2 linked regions of the Rhinolophus ferrumequinum genome follow. The protein of the gene in region 1 interacts with the protein of each later gene in a pairwise test. Links are inferred from orthologs where the notes say so. Each region holds a gene or a part of one and is shown on either strand. Other genes may lie near its edges.

Region 1 (7,472 bases):
GGCCTAGAAAGTGCTTGTCACCAGCAGGCATCATCTGTTGACTAAATGAGTGACGCTGTCCTAATGAGATTGAACTAGGCAATTCCAGAGTCCCTTCTAACCCGGGCAACGAACGGTGTTAAACTGGCTGAGTATTATCAATTTAAAGGCTGCCCCTCTTTGCTTAGGTATCTATGTAATGTCATAACAGGAACCTGAAATTATAGTTCCCTGTTGCAGATTCTTATTGCCAAATGAGGAACTTCCACCCATCGGTTTTGGAAGGATTCAAATACTTGCATCGTACCCTGTTCTCTACCCCAGGGCATTTCCTAGCAGGGACAGGATAAATTCAAGACCCTAGAACTGAACTCATGGGCTGAACTCGGAACTGTCATTTTAGAGGGGCTTCTCTGGAGTGGCCAGGGGCAGGGGATTCTAAACGCAACGCAACTCTCCCTCCTTGGCCCTCCACTTCTCCCTCAGGAGCACAGGGCACTCAGTCTCAAATGTTACCTCTGACTTGGGGGTTACTAAATTGAACCCCAAGGAGGTAGTATATGTAGACATCCAATATTAAATTTGATTTACAATCTTGCCCTTGTAATAGTGGTCTCTTCTCTCAAGGCTAGGATGGTATTTTCAGAAAAATTTGTTAAAATCGTAAGTTGCTCTAAAATATTAAGCAAATCATTAGCCAGTCTTACACTGAAAATCAGTTGTGCACATAGTTATTATTCATACCGAAATAAGGAAAATCATTCTTTGTATATTCATTTTCTCTTAACAAATACTAACACGTTAAAAAATCTTAGTCATCTGAACTATAGCCTTTCTCTAAGCTGGTTATTACTTTTAATTAAAAGCAACTAGCACATATTCTGGAATATTTTTCACCTGGATAGACTTGAAATATTCCTATATCACCTAAAAAATTCCTAATGGAGACATTTTCTAGTATTGCATTATTATAAACAATTACATTTTACAGGAAGAAATATCAAAAACATGTTTAGAGAAAAAACAAAAAATCTACTCAATAGATTTATAAAAATCCCTTAGCTAATTAAAGCTGGAAAGTTTCCTTCTAGATTTACCAAACTTGGCATAAAATATTCGTAATTTGGAATCAACTGCAATGTACAAACAAAACTACTATACAAATATACATCACACACAGGTACACATTGACTGTCATCCACTTCTTCCTACAGCAAGAAATAGAAATACGTTCCTTACCTCAGTCCTCAGTACTATTCACAACTACCCCAGTATCATAACATTTTATAACTAATCTTACTGGATGGAGAGATTCCACCCAACTGTGACTACATTTTTGTAGAGGCAAGTGATTTTAACACTTGTGCTAATTTGGCAGTACATGAAAGGTAAGATCGATACCAAATGTTGCTTATGACCAACTGCCATCTGAGTGAAAAAAAAAAAAAGCTCACTGCTGCAAAGGGAGAACAGCTGGGGGCGATATGAGAAGGAAGTTGTTCTCCTAGCTCTTTCATCCACTAAAGGGGTATACTTTTCCAAGTCACAAGAGGAACATTCTGTATATGGCAAAAAAAGGTTAACTGAGATCGTGACCAAACTGGTTGGTATGAAATAAGAAAGAATGTGAGCCAAGAGTTCAGCACTGATTTGATCTCTCACAATTCAATTCTTCACAAAAACAAAAGCACCTGTTCATGCTGGTAGGGAAAGAGCTGCAGAGATTAGCCTTAATCTTGCCTAAGGAAAGCCCTCCTCAGGGATGCTTTGGACACCCCATCCTCTCTGGCCCATGTGATGCTTGACAACAAAACTGCCAGTTGTGAGTGTGCATGAAGAATTACCAGCACTTATCTCTCTGCGTCTCAACAGAAGCTGCCAGTTTACAGTCAATGGAATCACCTTGACAAATGTGTCACATAACCAGCTTAACTAGTGTCTCATAACCAGCTTAACTAGTCAGAGGTTTTCTGATCCTTTATCTCTATCTGTAGTTGATCTACATATGGACAATCTGTGATTATTATTAATACCAGCAATAATAAAATATTGAACCTGAGAGTCTCTGGGTGATGCATTTGGCTTTTTAATACAAGTCTCCAGTACCTTACCATACCACGACATAACCATCCTTTTAGATCTCTTTAGGGGAAGATTTATCCTTCTTTTCTTCATGAACCTTTTCCATTATCTTCTAAATCTCATGGGAGGAAAAGCTGCCTACTTGACATTTCTTCTGTGACACCTCATTTTGTGTTCTGTCTTGGTATAAAAGCTTTTAGAAATTTGCATACAGCTATTAAGTTACTCCTCAGTCTCTTGAATCTTTGTGCTAACAGGAGCTGGAACACCGTAGGTGGAGAAGCAGCACAAATGCAGAACTCATACCTCCCCAGGAAAACGAAAAGAGGAAAAGTGAGACATTCTAGCCCTGCTACTTTTCTCATCCCCCTGGCCCTACTCAGCAATGACAAAGACATTTGTCACTTTCAAACTGAGGCACAATCTCCAAAATAACTGGCCTCTGCTCAGAGTTCTTAAGTTTACTGGAAAACATGTTCCTGGGCTGCAGCAGTGTAGCCCCAGAATAGGATTACAGGAGTATGCCTAGGTCAAGCGCCCCCCACCCTCTCCCAGTCCCATCGGTGACACAAAGGCAGAGTCACAGGCACACCGACCACCCCCATGAACTCAAGACTAGAGCGCGCGCGCGCGCGCGCGCACACACACACACACACACACACACACACGTGATCACGTGCATGGTCACGTGGACTGGCCCACTCACAAAGTCACACTAACAGAGGCAGCAGCGCATATTATATACACACCCACTTGCAACCCCATACACATTACACACCACACCCCCGCTTTCCAGGGCCTCACCCATCCCTCACCTGCCGTGGCCGCCCCCACGTCCCTTTCCTTTCTCCCCAGGGCGGCTCTTCCCTCCTGTACAGGAGCGGGCCGCGAAGACGGCAGAGCCCCTTTCGGGGCCGGTGTCCGCAGCGCTCAGGAGCAGCAGGCAAAGCAGGCAGTGGGGGCGAACCGGAGGGCCGGCCTCCGAGGGGCGGGGCGCGCGGCGGAGCAAGCCTGGGCCGCCGCGCTCCCTCCTCCCAAACCTTCCGCGTAGCGGGCGCGACTCTCACACTTCCGGGTTTGGAGGGGGTGGAGCCGCGTCGCGAGGAAGGGGCGGGGCTGCGGGGGCTCAGGCGGTCACTATGACGACGGGGAGGGTTGGTGACTAGGCTGAGATGTTCCCGGGGCTCTTGCTTATTCCTGCGGCTTGGGAAACCGTCGTCCGTCTCGGTGGTGTTTGGGGGCGCGGGGAGGAGAAGGAGGTCCGAGTGGCCTATGGGTCAGCTCTGGGTCACCCAGCTCTATCAGACGTGGGTACGGAGGGAGAGATTATGGGAGTGGAAGGAGGGGGCATTTGGTTCCTTGGGACCTACCTTTGCCTTCAGTTTGTTCCCAGTTGGGAGAAAGCAGGTTCCCTCTTTGGCGTGTAAAGCAGGCTTGGGTGAGCAGGGTTATGTATACTCTCTTGGTAAGTTTTTTGTCTTTGGCACAGCTACAGACACCCTCCATAGTCCACCCGTGGAACGCCCCCACTTCCCTTTACAGACTTGTGCTGACGTTCTGGAAGCTTTCCGGGGAACAGTTCCCAAGGCTTCTCCATCTCCATCATTTTCCATCATTTTCCATCTCCATCATTTTCCCTTTAAGTAATAGAGAATATTAATAAACGAGATGTGATCAAAACATACAGTGAAAGTTTAAATTAAAAAAATGTATTACAGTAAAAGACACATTGCCATTAATCCCCCTCAAAATACTCCCCCTTGCTTCGAACACACTTATTCCATAGGTCTTGCCACTTTCTGAAGCAGTTCTGGAAGTCCTCGTTTGTGAATGTGTTTAATTGTGCTGCCAAGGCTGCCTCGATGTCCTGAATCGATTCAAAACGTTTAGTTTTTATGGTCATTTTGACTTTGGAGAAGAGCCAGAAGTCACTTGGGGCCTGATCTGGTGAATAAGGTGGATGAGGACACACCCGTAATGTTTTTATTTGAAAATTGCCCTACCAGAAGTGATGTGTGATATGGAGCATTGTCATAATGGAGGATGAAGTAAAGACACGAAACAGGACTTATAGAACTGCTTCAGAATGTGGCAAGAATGATGGGATAAGTGTTTTTGAGGGGGGAGTAATAGCAATGTATCTTTTAGTGTAATAAATTTTTAAAATGTAAACATTCACTATATTTTTCAATCACACCTTGTATTTATAATCATTTTTAAGCAAGATGTTGCAAATGTCACGACTCTTGTATTTCCAGATTTGCTGAAAGAGTGTATACAACTGAATATAACATTTAAGTCTTATTGTTTGAATTTTTTAGTAATCCTGCAACAAGGTCCTGTTGAAAGTGCTTCTCCCTAATCTGTTTTAGGAAAAGCTTGCTCCCTAATCTGTTTTAGGAAAAGCTTGAATCCTGTTTAAATGCCTTTGAATTAGCCCTAACCCAGGCAACTGTGTATTGGATTAAGGTCAGGGGAAATCCAAGTAAATTGCATCCTTAGTTATGACCTATGCCCTCCTGTTCAGGAGCCTTGGGTCCCAGTCTAGGACTTGAACAAATCCCAAACATTTCTCAAGAACACAATAAAACATTTGCAAACCCCACCCCCCATTACCTCTTTCGGAATTTCAAGTCCCAGGAAGTGGCCTTATTATAGGTGTATAGGGCATGTTCCCATGGAAGATTTTTAACCTTTTGGCTTTTCCTCAGGACTTTGGAATAGTTTAAAGAGTGGAATAACTGGAAGAGCACTGGTTGTATGTAAAATACATTATAGGTAGTTGTTACATTATGTATCTGTCCAAGAGGGCTGGGAACTTTAATTTAAAGAGTAAAGGGCACAGAGTGATTCAACCAGTGCCTTAGAAATGATCAGGCCCATAACAGGTACTAAATGTGTACTGAATGAATGAATGAGAGAATAAATCTATCCACATGTATTCCTGAAAACAACATTCCTTGGATCCCACACCCCCAAACCTCACTTTAGTAACAGTCCTAATAAGAGGTAAGCTATGCGTATGCCCAAATATATTAGAAGTCTTTATTCTGTTAATTTGGTAATAATAATGTTTAACTTGAGTATTGATCATGAAAAACCACTTCAATATATAGATATGTTTTGTTACATATATGCTTTTATTAAAAATGTAAAAGATCAGGGGTCGGTCCGGTAGCTCAGGCGGTTAGAGCTCCATGCTCCTAACTCTGAAGGCTGCCGGTTCGATTCCCACATGGGCCAGTGGGCTCTCAACCACAAGGCTGCCGGTTCGACTCCCGCAAGGGATGGTGGGCTGCGCCCCCTGCAACTAGTAACCGCAACTGGACCTGGAGCTGAGTTGCGCCCTCCACAACTAAGACTGAAAGAACAACAACTTGAAGCTGAATGGCACCCTCCACCCCTAAGATTGAAAGGACAACAACTTGACTTGGAAAAAAGGTCTGGAAGTACACACTGTTCCCCAATAAAGTCCTGTTCCCCTTCCCCAATAAAATCTTTAAAAAAAAAAATGTAAAAGATCAAACCCCAAATAATGTTTTGTTTCCCTTAGAAAAGGACCCCATGGTTATGTTTGAATCCTCACTTGTTCCATAACAAATGGCAAACACATTGTCCATTCCCTCATATGAACAAGGAACATTTAATATGAGGATTCCAGCTGTCCCATAATTGCACAACTGCAGGAAGCAAACTTTTGACCCAGAGTAGGCCGTAGTACAGACAGACCTTGCAGATATGGCTGTGAGGGTTTGCAGCTGTCGTGGTTGGGGTCTACCAGATGGTTCCCACAGCACCAATCCCTGGGTGAGAATCTTACTTTAAAACTGGAATGTTCACAAAATACTCTGTGAACACCAAGCAAAGTAAACAGATGGCCAGCTGGCTCTCAATATTGCCCCAACCCAAGCTCTACCTCTCAAATTGTTCTCTTGACAGGGTAATATTTGTTTTAAAACACACATATAAAATAATCCTAGATATATCTCTTATGCATGTATGTACACCAAACACAACAGTGGTTACCTCTGAGAATAAACGGGATGGAAGGGTTGGTAAAGGAGAACTTTGGCTTTAGATTTAGTGTTGTAATTAATGTAAGAATATATTCATATGTTATTGTGTGATTTTACAAAAATATTCAAAGCAACTAACTATATTCATGCTTTAAATCCTGCCCTAAATCCTGCTCTAAATCCTTCAATGGCTCCCCACTGTCTTCAAGCTAAAGTCCAAGGTGCACAGGCTCGAGCAGGCCTGGTTCTCTCAAAGGACCCCGAACCCACTATAAGTCTCAAACCTTTAGGCCTTTGTATGTGTTCTTCCCACCATTTACAATGCCTCCCTCCCTTGACCACCAGAGTGAATTACCCCTCTTTTACCCCCCACCCCGGAACTGTGGATGTGTGAAAAAGTGAAAGAGAAACAAAACACTTAGTTTTTCACACTAATACCAATTCTTGGAATACCATCCTTTTAAAGCTTCTCAGGGTACAATTGACTACAGTGATATAATATATCAAATTACGCTGAGACCCAAGATTGAAATTGAATATTGTTTTCTCATTGCCAGACCAAGTCTGTGTCAAATACATACCACACTGGATTATAGGGATCAGATATGGAGTGGGGATTCTGGAACTGCCCAAGAAAGATATGACTCTTCTATAGCTTGCTACATAAAGGTACTATCAAACAATTATTACAAACAGTTATTTATAATTAATGACTATCATCTGGGAGTTAAGAAACCTGAGTTCTATCCTTGGGCAAGACATTTCCTCTCTCTGGGTAGTTTCTTTCTCAATAAAGTGAGTCCAAGTTTAGACTAAATGATCTCTAAGTTCTTTCCAATTCTAAGGTTTTAGATTTCCTATGTTTCTGAGAGCTATATTACAAACTCTTTACAATAGCCTTTCCTCAAAGTTGCGTCTCTCTGATAATCCCCCCACTGCCTCTCCCTTCCTATCAAACTTTTAAAAAGCATACACACAAAATGCCTCTTTAATGGAAACAGTATTTTAAATTTTTGGGTAAGTTAATGTTTGTCCATTATTAACTTTTTAAAATAAAAGTTCCTGAGTGAAGGTACCATCTGCCAACCTAGCATCTCACTCATGTATCTTCTGTAAACAATGCGATAATCTACCTTCAAAGAAGAGCAGTAGTAAAGAATCCTGCAACATAAGAGCTGCATTAATATACTACAAAATAAGTAAAACAAATCTGTAGGGTTCTAGAAAACTTTATGAATTCTTAGAGGTAATAAAGACAATGTTTACCTAGTAACTAAGACAATTGTTTTGAAATAGTCCAGCACAGTACCTGCATTTAATGTGTGCTCGGTTAAAATGTGCTCCCATTTCTTCCTTTCTGAATACTAAAGCCTACCACATTAAATTTCCTGATCA
Region 2 (7,786 bases), on another chromosome or scaffold:
GAATGGGGTGTAGGGAAAGCACTTCCTTTTTCTGGGCAAGCTGCTGTGGTTCTCACTAACGAGTCTGTGAGCCTGGAAGAGAGCCATAAATCTGAAGAGGATGTATTTTCCTACTACTGTGTTTTGTTTACTTCAACCCCTTCCTTTAAAATAAAATAAAAATAAATAACTAAACACCTAACCACATGCAATGTTGGTGGGCCCTCTAAACCCTAACCTTTAGAAGATCAAATATAAGACAAGCACATCAGACCAGGCTAAAAAAGACAGACACATTGAATGTAACATAAAAGCAAGATTTCTAATATTTTGTTCCTCCTCAAGATCTTTGCACATGCCATTTCCTCTGTATGTACCATCCTTCTTCCAGGTCTTCCTTCAAATGTTTCCTCAATCCAGTCACTTCTTAAACCTCCATCCGGACCACCCAGAGTCCAAGGTATTATCATCTTGCACCTGGTCCACTGCAACCCTCCTAATTGGACTCTGACCTTCCACTCTAGCCCCTGCCTACATTCCGTTCACACAGCAGCCAAACTGATCCTTTAGAGATGCACATCGGATCACTCCACTCCCCTGGCTCAGCACCATCTGATAATCCCCTACCATTTAAATTAAAATCCAGTCTTTACCTTCATCCCCAAAGATCGGACTCTTCTGGATACCTCTCCAAGTTCCTCTCCTATCACTCTCTCCCTTGCTCACTACTCTCCAGCCACACTGGCTTCTCTCCTTGAAGCTCCTGGGGCTCAGGATTTAAGCTCCTGTCTTGGGGCCTTTGCACTTGGGGCCTTTGCACCTCCACGTACAACATTCTTCCCTCAGAAATCCACTTAGCTAGCTAGCTTCCTTACTTCACTCATGTCTCAACTCAGATGCGACTTCATTAGACAGGCTTTACTTGATACCCTATTTAAAGTAGTGGTTCTGTCACTGTCTGCCACTTATCCAGCTTTCTTCTTCTTCTTAGCACTTTCACTGGCAGACATGTTATTATAAACCTATTTGTTAGCTGTTGGTGTCTGTTTCCCTCACTAGAATGGGAGGTCCCTGAGGGCAGGGTCTGCTGTGTTCCTGGCTGTATCCCCAGCTCCTGTAATCGTGCCTGGCACTCAGTAGACAGTTGATAACGATTTGTCAAATGACTCTTTGCTTGGCTGGCTCCTTCTCATCATTCAAGCCTCAGGCCAAATTTGTCATCTCAGAGAAGTTGTCTCTGACTTCTGGTCATAAGTAGTGCCACCCTTCCCCTTCCTGGCCCTGTCCGTCAATCTGTATGGCACATACCACTTTCTGAAATTGTTTTATTTATTTTATTTGCTTATGGTCCTTCTTTGTACCTCCCCCTCGCCCAGCAGGGACCTGTTGTGTTCATCTCTGTGTGTTCCAGTGCCTAAGACAGCGCCTGGCTCATACATAGTAAGTCCTCAGGCCAATAACTGTTGGGCCAATAATGAAAGGTATGGTGACTGGAGAGCAAGTTGCAAGCACATACCCAGCTCCTTCTTTCAATACTCACCTTTTGGCCACAGGAATCCACAGCATTAGGAATATGTTCTTCAGGTGGATGCTTCTCATCAGACCTCACCCCTTCATGTGACTGTGTGAGCGAAGACATTCTGGGTCTCCTATTTTTCTCTATTGGATTTTCGGTGGGTTCCAGGAAGATAGGCACAGGTTTGTCCTTAACCACAATTTGGTGCTTTTCCTTTTTCAACACTCCCTCCTTAGCTTCAGTGGAGACATTAAACACACACATACACATAGGCATATAAGTGATTTCAAATCCTCTTACTGTGTTTCCCCGAAAATAACACCTAGCCGAACAATCAGCTCTAATGCGTCTTTTGGAGCAAAAATTAATATTAAGACCCAGTCTTAATATTAATATATAAGACCGGGTCTTATACAATATAATACCCGGTCTTATATTAATTTTTGCTCCAAAAGACGCATTAGAGCTGTTTGTCTGGCTAGGTCTTATTTTCAGGGAAACAGGGTATTCATGTATCTGTAGCCTGCCCCGGCATCCTGGGATGGTGGTTGGTAATAGGGGGTGTGAGAGAGCTATTCAAAACTCTCAAGCAGGCAGCTTAAGTTTTACTGCAGAAATGAAATCTCAATGATATGGAACATCGTCCACTCATTAAAAGTCATGTCTCTGAAACTGTCTCGGTTTCCCATTTCAATGATGTGGAATAATATTCATCACATAAAGTGGAGTGAGAAAAGTAGGGAATCAACAGTGCAGACTCCGAATTTTGTAAATATACATATGTGTTTACTGACGTTCATAGAAATAGCCTGGAAGAAATATACGAAAATGTTCACATTGTTTATCTCCAGGTGGTTTTCTTCTTTTTGTCATTTCTATAGTGCGCATATATTACTTTTGTAATCCTCAAGAATAAATCAAAGGAATAATTATTTAAAACATAAAAGTGGAAAACCTAAAGGGCACGGGGTGACAAACGTCTGGGGTAGGGAAAGGTGCTTTTTTGAGAGCTGAGAAATACTATAAGGCAGGACGAGGATACTGGAAAGCGTGAACTCGAAGGCGGCGCTGTCAGACCAAGATCCCAGACTGGGCACCTCTGGACTCCATCCTCCGTGGCTGCGGGCTGCGTCTCTTGTCAGCAAGAGCCCGCGGTTCCCGTGCCCCATCAAACAGGTGCCATACTTTCTCCCGCCCTCTCTCCTAGGCCAGCTCACACTGGGTTAGCCTGGAATCCCGTGAGGCTGGGCCGCAGGGGCGGCCTTTGCAGCCCCAGCCCGGCCCGCGGCTCACCTGCCCTTTCCACGAACTCCACCACGAAGGTGCCCGGCGCGCCCGGGCCCAGGGGTCTAACGGTGCACTCCCCGCCGCCGGAGCGCCGGCTCTGCAAGTAGCGTTCCAGCTTCCGGTGGAGAGGTTGCTGGAGATCCGTCTCGGACACCCGCACGAGCAGCGGGGACGGCGAGCGGCGGTTCGAGGCCATGGCTCTCGGCGTCGAGCTGGCGCACCGGCTCCGGCCTCTGCTGGGACAGGGACTGGGGCAGGGGTGCGTCCCGCCTCGTCGCCTTGGGCCTCAAAGTTTCAGTTTCGCTTTCCCCGAGATCCCTCCCTGTTCCCAGCACAGCTACTCTCCTTCCTCTCCTTGCTGCCTTCCCTGCCGCCGTCTGGCCGGGTGAGTATGTCGGTCCCGTGTCCCCCCGAGCGGTGGGCGCCCAAGGCTTTCGCGTCTCCTTTTCTGCGGGCTTGGCCGAGGTAGGGGTGGGGCGGGCGAGAAACGGGCTCCTAGGGCCAGGCGGCCCCCGCCTCCAACCCAGGAGAGGGTGAGACTGGTCAGAGGCTGAAGTCGAAGTTTCTCCCGAGTTTGTGATTCCTTTTAACTCTTATTGTTACTATTGTGTGCAGCTAAAATGTAATTCACATTGTGAATTCGGATTAATACCTACATTTGAAAAAAACTGAAAGTGTTCTCCTGCATTATGACATATCACCTGTTACCTCCCTCCAGCTCTATCCTTTAGACTGGCTCTTGGAGCGTGATTTGGCCAACAAAACCGGACTGTGTGCTGCCCTTTGTACTGGGGAATAAAGATGAACGCAGAGGCCAGCGACCTCACAGGCTGGTAAAGGGAGGCGGACTTGTGAATAAAGAAGCAAATCTCTTGAAAGCGCCCAAGAGGAAGTCTGCAGCAGAGTCTTAGAGAATGTGTGTGTGAGTGTGTAGGGGTCGGGAGGGAAGGAGCATCTGAGGCCCAAGGACCCTTGTGATCTGAAGCAGAGGGAGCTTTGGGGCCTTGGAGGAGATGAGATGGGTGAGGGACGTGACAGAGGAAGGGTCTAGATCAGTGCTGTCCACATATCTAATAGGAACCACATATCTAATTTAAAAATATTTAGTAGCCATATTTTAAAAAGCATAAACAGCTGAATTTTAATGATGTTATTTAATTCAATATAATCTTACATGTAATCGTTCCTGTATCTCAAATTAATCATTCAGCATGTAAGCAATCTTAAAACCGTATGAGATACTTTACATGCTTTTTGTCATACTGAGTCATTACTACCTGGTGTTTATCTCACACTTACATCACATCTCACTCAATTGGGACTAAGGAGCCACATTTGGGGCGTACAAGAGCTCCATGTGGCTAATGGCCCACAGCGGACAGCGCAGATCTAGACAGTGAAAAGTCTTGAAGATCAGTGGGGAGAAACGGAAGGGTTGTGAGCACCGGAAACAGAGTGACAGGTCAGAAGTGCATTTTAGAAACATGGCGTGGACAACCATGTGGAGGACACATTTCCAAGCAGGGACAAAGGAAGTAGACAGGCCTGAGATAAGGTTTTTGAGATAAGACAGGCCTGAGACAGGCTTGGATTTTGCAGAATCCAAGCCATTTTGGCAGTACTATCAGCATTACAGCTGCATGGGCTTTGTGATTCTGCAGTTAGAGGTAGGAGGGCGCCTTTTACAGTTTCTGAATTTGAACCAGTAAACATAATACCAATTCAAACAATGAAATGTAAAATTAAATACATTAAAATCTTTAAAGAGAATGACATAGCTCAGACAAGAGGCCCTGAAGTGAAATGATGTCAGTGGGCAAGGAGGGTAGGGGCATATTTGAAAGTGGGTGCTTTGGACCCAAGTGATGGGTTCCATCTGGGACAAAAGAGGAGATTCTAGATTTCTGACTTGAGTGGGTAAATGGTGTATCATTGACTGAGCTGTGGAATCCAGGAGAGAGAGCATGAATTTCGGAGCGGGTCGGGTGGGTGTAGGGAGGTGAATCCAAGCAAAGGGCCTGTAAAGGCAAAGTGAAAGGTAACAAAAGAACCAAGGGAAGATAGCATAGGAGAAGCCAAGAAGGCAGAGTTTTAGGACTCAAAGAATGAAATGATGATAGAGAGAAGTCAAGTAAAGATTAGGACAGAAGAGAGTCCACTGGGGTTAACCTTGTGGAGATCACTGATGAGCAGTTTCAGAGGAGTGCTGGGGGTGGGGCAGGAGTCCACCACAGTGGGCCGAGCAGGCAGACGGATGGGGGAGAGTCAACCTCTTCATGCTGCCCATGCGGAGAAAAGAACACAGTAGGAACTAGTAAGGGAAAGTTGGGAAGGCTTTTGTTGTTAATTGGTGTTGTTTTTAAAATGAGAGAGATTGAATGTTCTGAGCAATATGCTCCTTGTTTCTAATTTCTTTGGGGTTTAATAACCCCTCACCCCACCCTCAAGAGTCTATCCTTAGGCCTTAAAAGCCTGGTCGAAGGAAAAACATAAGTGCTACAGCATCTGAAGCAAAAGCCCACCTGATGTCCACAGCCAAAGCAGACAGGAGACTTCCCTCTTTTGTGAAAACAGCAGTGCCCTCTGGAGGCAAAAATGCATCTTGTCCTCACACTTTAGGACTGTATTGGACTTGCTGCTTTTCCTGACATGTAGGAATAATAGTTCCCTGATGCTGTAGATAGTCGTACAAAATTTTTCATTACAAAGGCATTAGAAATCATTTCAGAGGCCTAACGACAACTATGTGGGCAACAAGTGTAGGCAACTGTGTTGTTAAGCATTTTTGTTGGTCTCCAAAAATTTGATCCCTACATATTAGATGGAAAATCATTGAAATATGTTTTTCCAGAGTTTCTGATGTTTATCCAGACAGTCCCCTTTCTAATTAGATCAGCAAATTTATCATAGGCTCAGTAACACATATCCTTGACAGGCATAAGTACAGTTTGCTTTCTTCAGACATTCTCCAGGGGTCTTCATACTCATAAAGCTGGTTTTGCCTCATTGTTCTTTGAATGCTGTGCTCTGTCTTAGCTCTTGGAATCATTCTCCTCTTCCAATTAACTATATACAAACCTGCTCCATCCCTCAAGGTCTGGCTCTCGTCTCACCTTCTCCATAAAGCTTTCCCTACTATAACCCTTATGGTTCTTTCCCCTCTCTGAACTGCCATTACGGTTTCAACTGGAACCTCTCTGTAAAGGACAGAAGGTAAACAGTAACCACAGCAGAAAAACAATAGGGCATCTTCACCAGTAAAACTAAAAGCTACTCAAGATCAGAAATCATGTTTTGTCTTCCTATGGCGTATTCTTATCAAATTTCCTAAGATGCTGATCAGTGCTTATTGCATCCTTTCTATTCATTCCTAGAAGTGGACCACCATAATTGGAAACAGCAGTCTACGCTCAGAAACGCAAAACAGAGTATAAACATTGAAAGACCCCAGGTACTTGGAGGATGGACTTTTCCAAGGTAAAAGTACTTTTTTATAAATGTATACTCACATAAATCATGAACTTTGATCAGGCATAGTACTTCCTATAACTAAGCACGAAATCTGGGTCTTCAGTTATGCCCAGTATTCGTACTTGGTTTTAATAGCCCAATAAAAGTTGTCTCCCTGTACCATGTGGGAGAAGAGGAATCAAGAACATGCTAATCTAATCAACAGAGTCAACATGAGGATCGATGATTTTTAAAAATATGACTTCAGTATCATTTTTATTCTATCTTCTCATGCAGCAATTCTGCTTTTTTGCAGGATGGGGTAGAGGAGGAGGATGGAGGAAGATAAGCAATTGAAAAGTGGGTCCTTATTGGTAGACAGGAAGATATAGCTGATGAAGCTCATGTCCGCATGTCTTCTGTTCTGTCTAGAGAAACCCTACAAGCCTTTGGAAATTGGAGGCCTGTCTGAAAGTTTTGGGTCCTTTTGGCCTGTGATCTTTGGGCCTTTTCAAGTGTTAATCTCCAACCCATGTTGAATTAGAAGTGTACTGGCCTCTAGGAAAGTGGGGTAGGGTCATTGTTTGCTAGAACATTTAGTATTTCAAGTATTTCAGGCACACAGATTAAACAAATGAACAAACATGTGTTCCCCTTCCCTCTCAAACCCAGTGCTTTTAGCAGAATTTCTGTTGCTCTGTGCTTATTAGGCTGTATTTGTTATCAGTAGTCTGTAGTCATTTGGTTTCAGTTTTTTTTAAACCACTTTCATTTTTCACAGGGTACTGGAGCAGCAGCTTACAATGAGAAATCAGGTAGGATCCTGTCAGTCTCGGGCTTGTTTCAGAAAGTCTTTGCACCTATCTTTTCTCAGTGGAGAAAGGGGAATACAAAAGGAGACTGTCTACCCCACAGGTGCTCAGGTGCGTGATTGCAGGACCTTGTGGTGACCCGGCACTTGTCTCAAAGGGGGACTGCTTCAGAGGCGGTGTGGCACCAGCTGACGTGTTCTCTTAGGGCTCTCATTGGTCCTTTCCTTTGCTCACAAGATGTCAGACTCTTCTGTCCACAGCCGTAGAACTGAAATTGGACAGAAGAGGTGACCCACTGATTGACCCTTGCTCAACAAGGGCTTTGTAAGAGCCAAATGGAACCTTCCTAATCCTAGAGGTGGCCCACTTGTGATTTTCAACCAAAACGTGGGCCAGTTGGATCTGGCTACTCACGTACTGCTTCTTTTAGGTAATTGAAGCCACCAAAGTTCTTTCTAGGTGACTCAGATTAGAAATGGGAGTTGAAGTAAAATATAATTAACTACGACATTTTCCCTATTTTAGGATGCACATTTTTTCATATCTCTGAAATAAAGCTCCTCCCTTTCAGTAGTGTGCTATGGTTTAAATGGCATCGTTTTTCCTTCCTCAGTGACATATAATAACGATGCCTTAGACTCCAGTGAAATGCAGTGTCACAAGCGGGGTTCTCAAGGAAGCAAAAACTGAGATGGAGTTAGGAATGCAAAAGATTTATTGTGAAAGGAAAAGAGATTTGGGG

Evidence for each region.
Region 2: the proteins of SPG21 (region 1) and DTX3L interact in binary tests that used the Homo sapiens proteins (3 or more experiments, as listed by UniProt). The two-hybrid records come from large-scale screens. The link is inferred for Rhinolophus ferrumequinum from reciprocal best matches to the Homo sapiens genes SPG21 and DTX3L.

The regions. Positions count from the first base shown.
Region 1 is NC_046289.1:45,702,418-45,709,889, reverse strand, and holds the start of SPG21 (maspardin), read right to left. Parts: upstream 3,015-7,472; 5' UTR 2,877-3,014; intron 1-2,876. UniProt on the Homo sapiens protein: May play a role as a negative regulatory factor in CD4-dependent T-cell activation.
Region 2 is NC_046285.1:47,308,884-47,316,669, reverse strand, and holds the start of DTX3L (E3 ubiquitin-protein ligase DTX3L), read right to left. Parts: upstream 3,014-7,786; 5' UTR 2,979-3,013; coding exon 2,789-2,978; intron 1,732-2,788; coding exon 1,520-1,731; intron 1-1,519. Other genes in the region: protein mono-ADP-ribosyltransferase PARP9, read left to right, coding at 6,245-6,259, 7,014-7,155.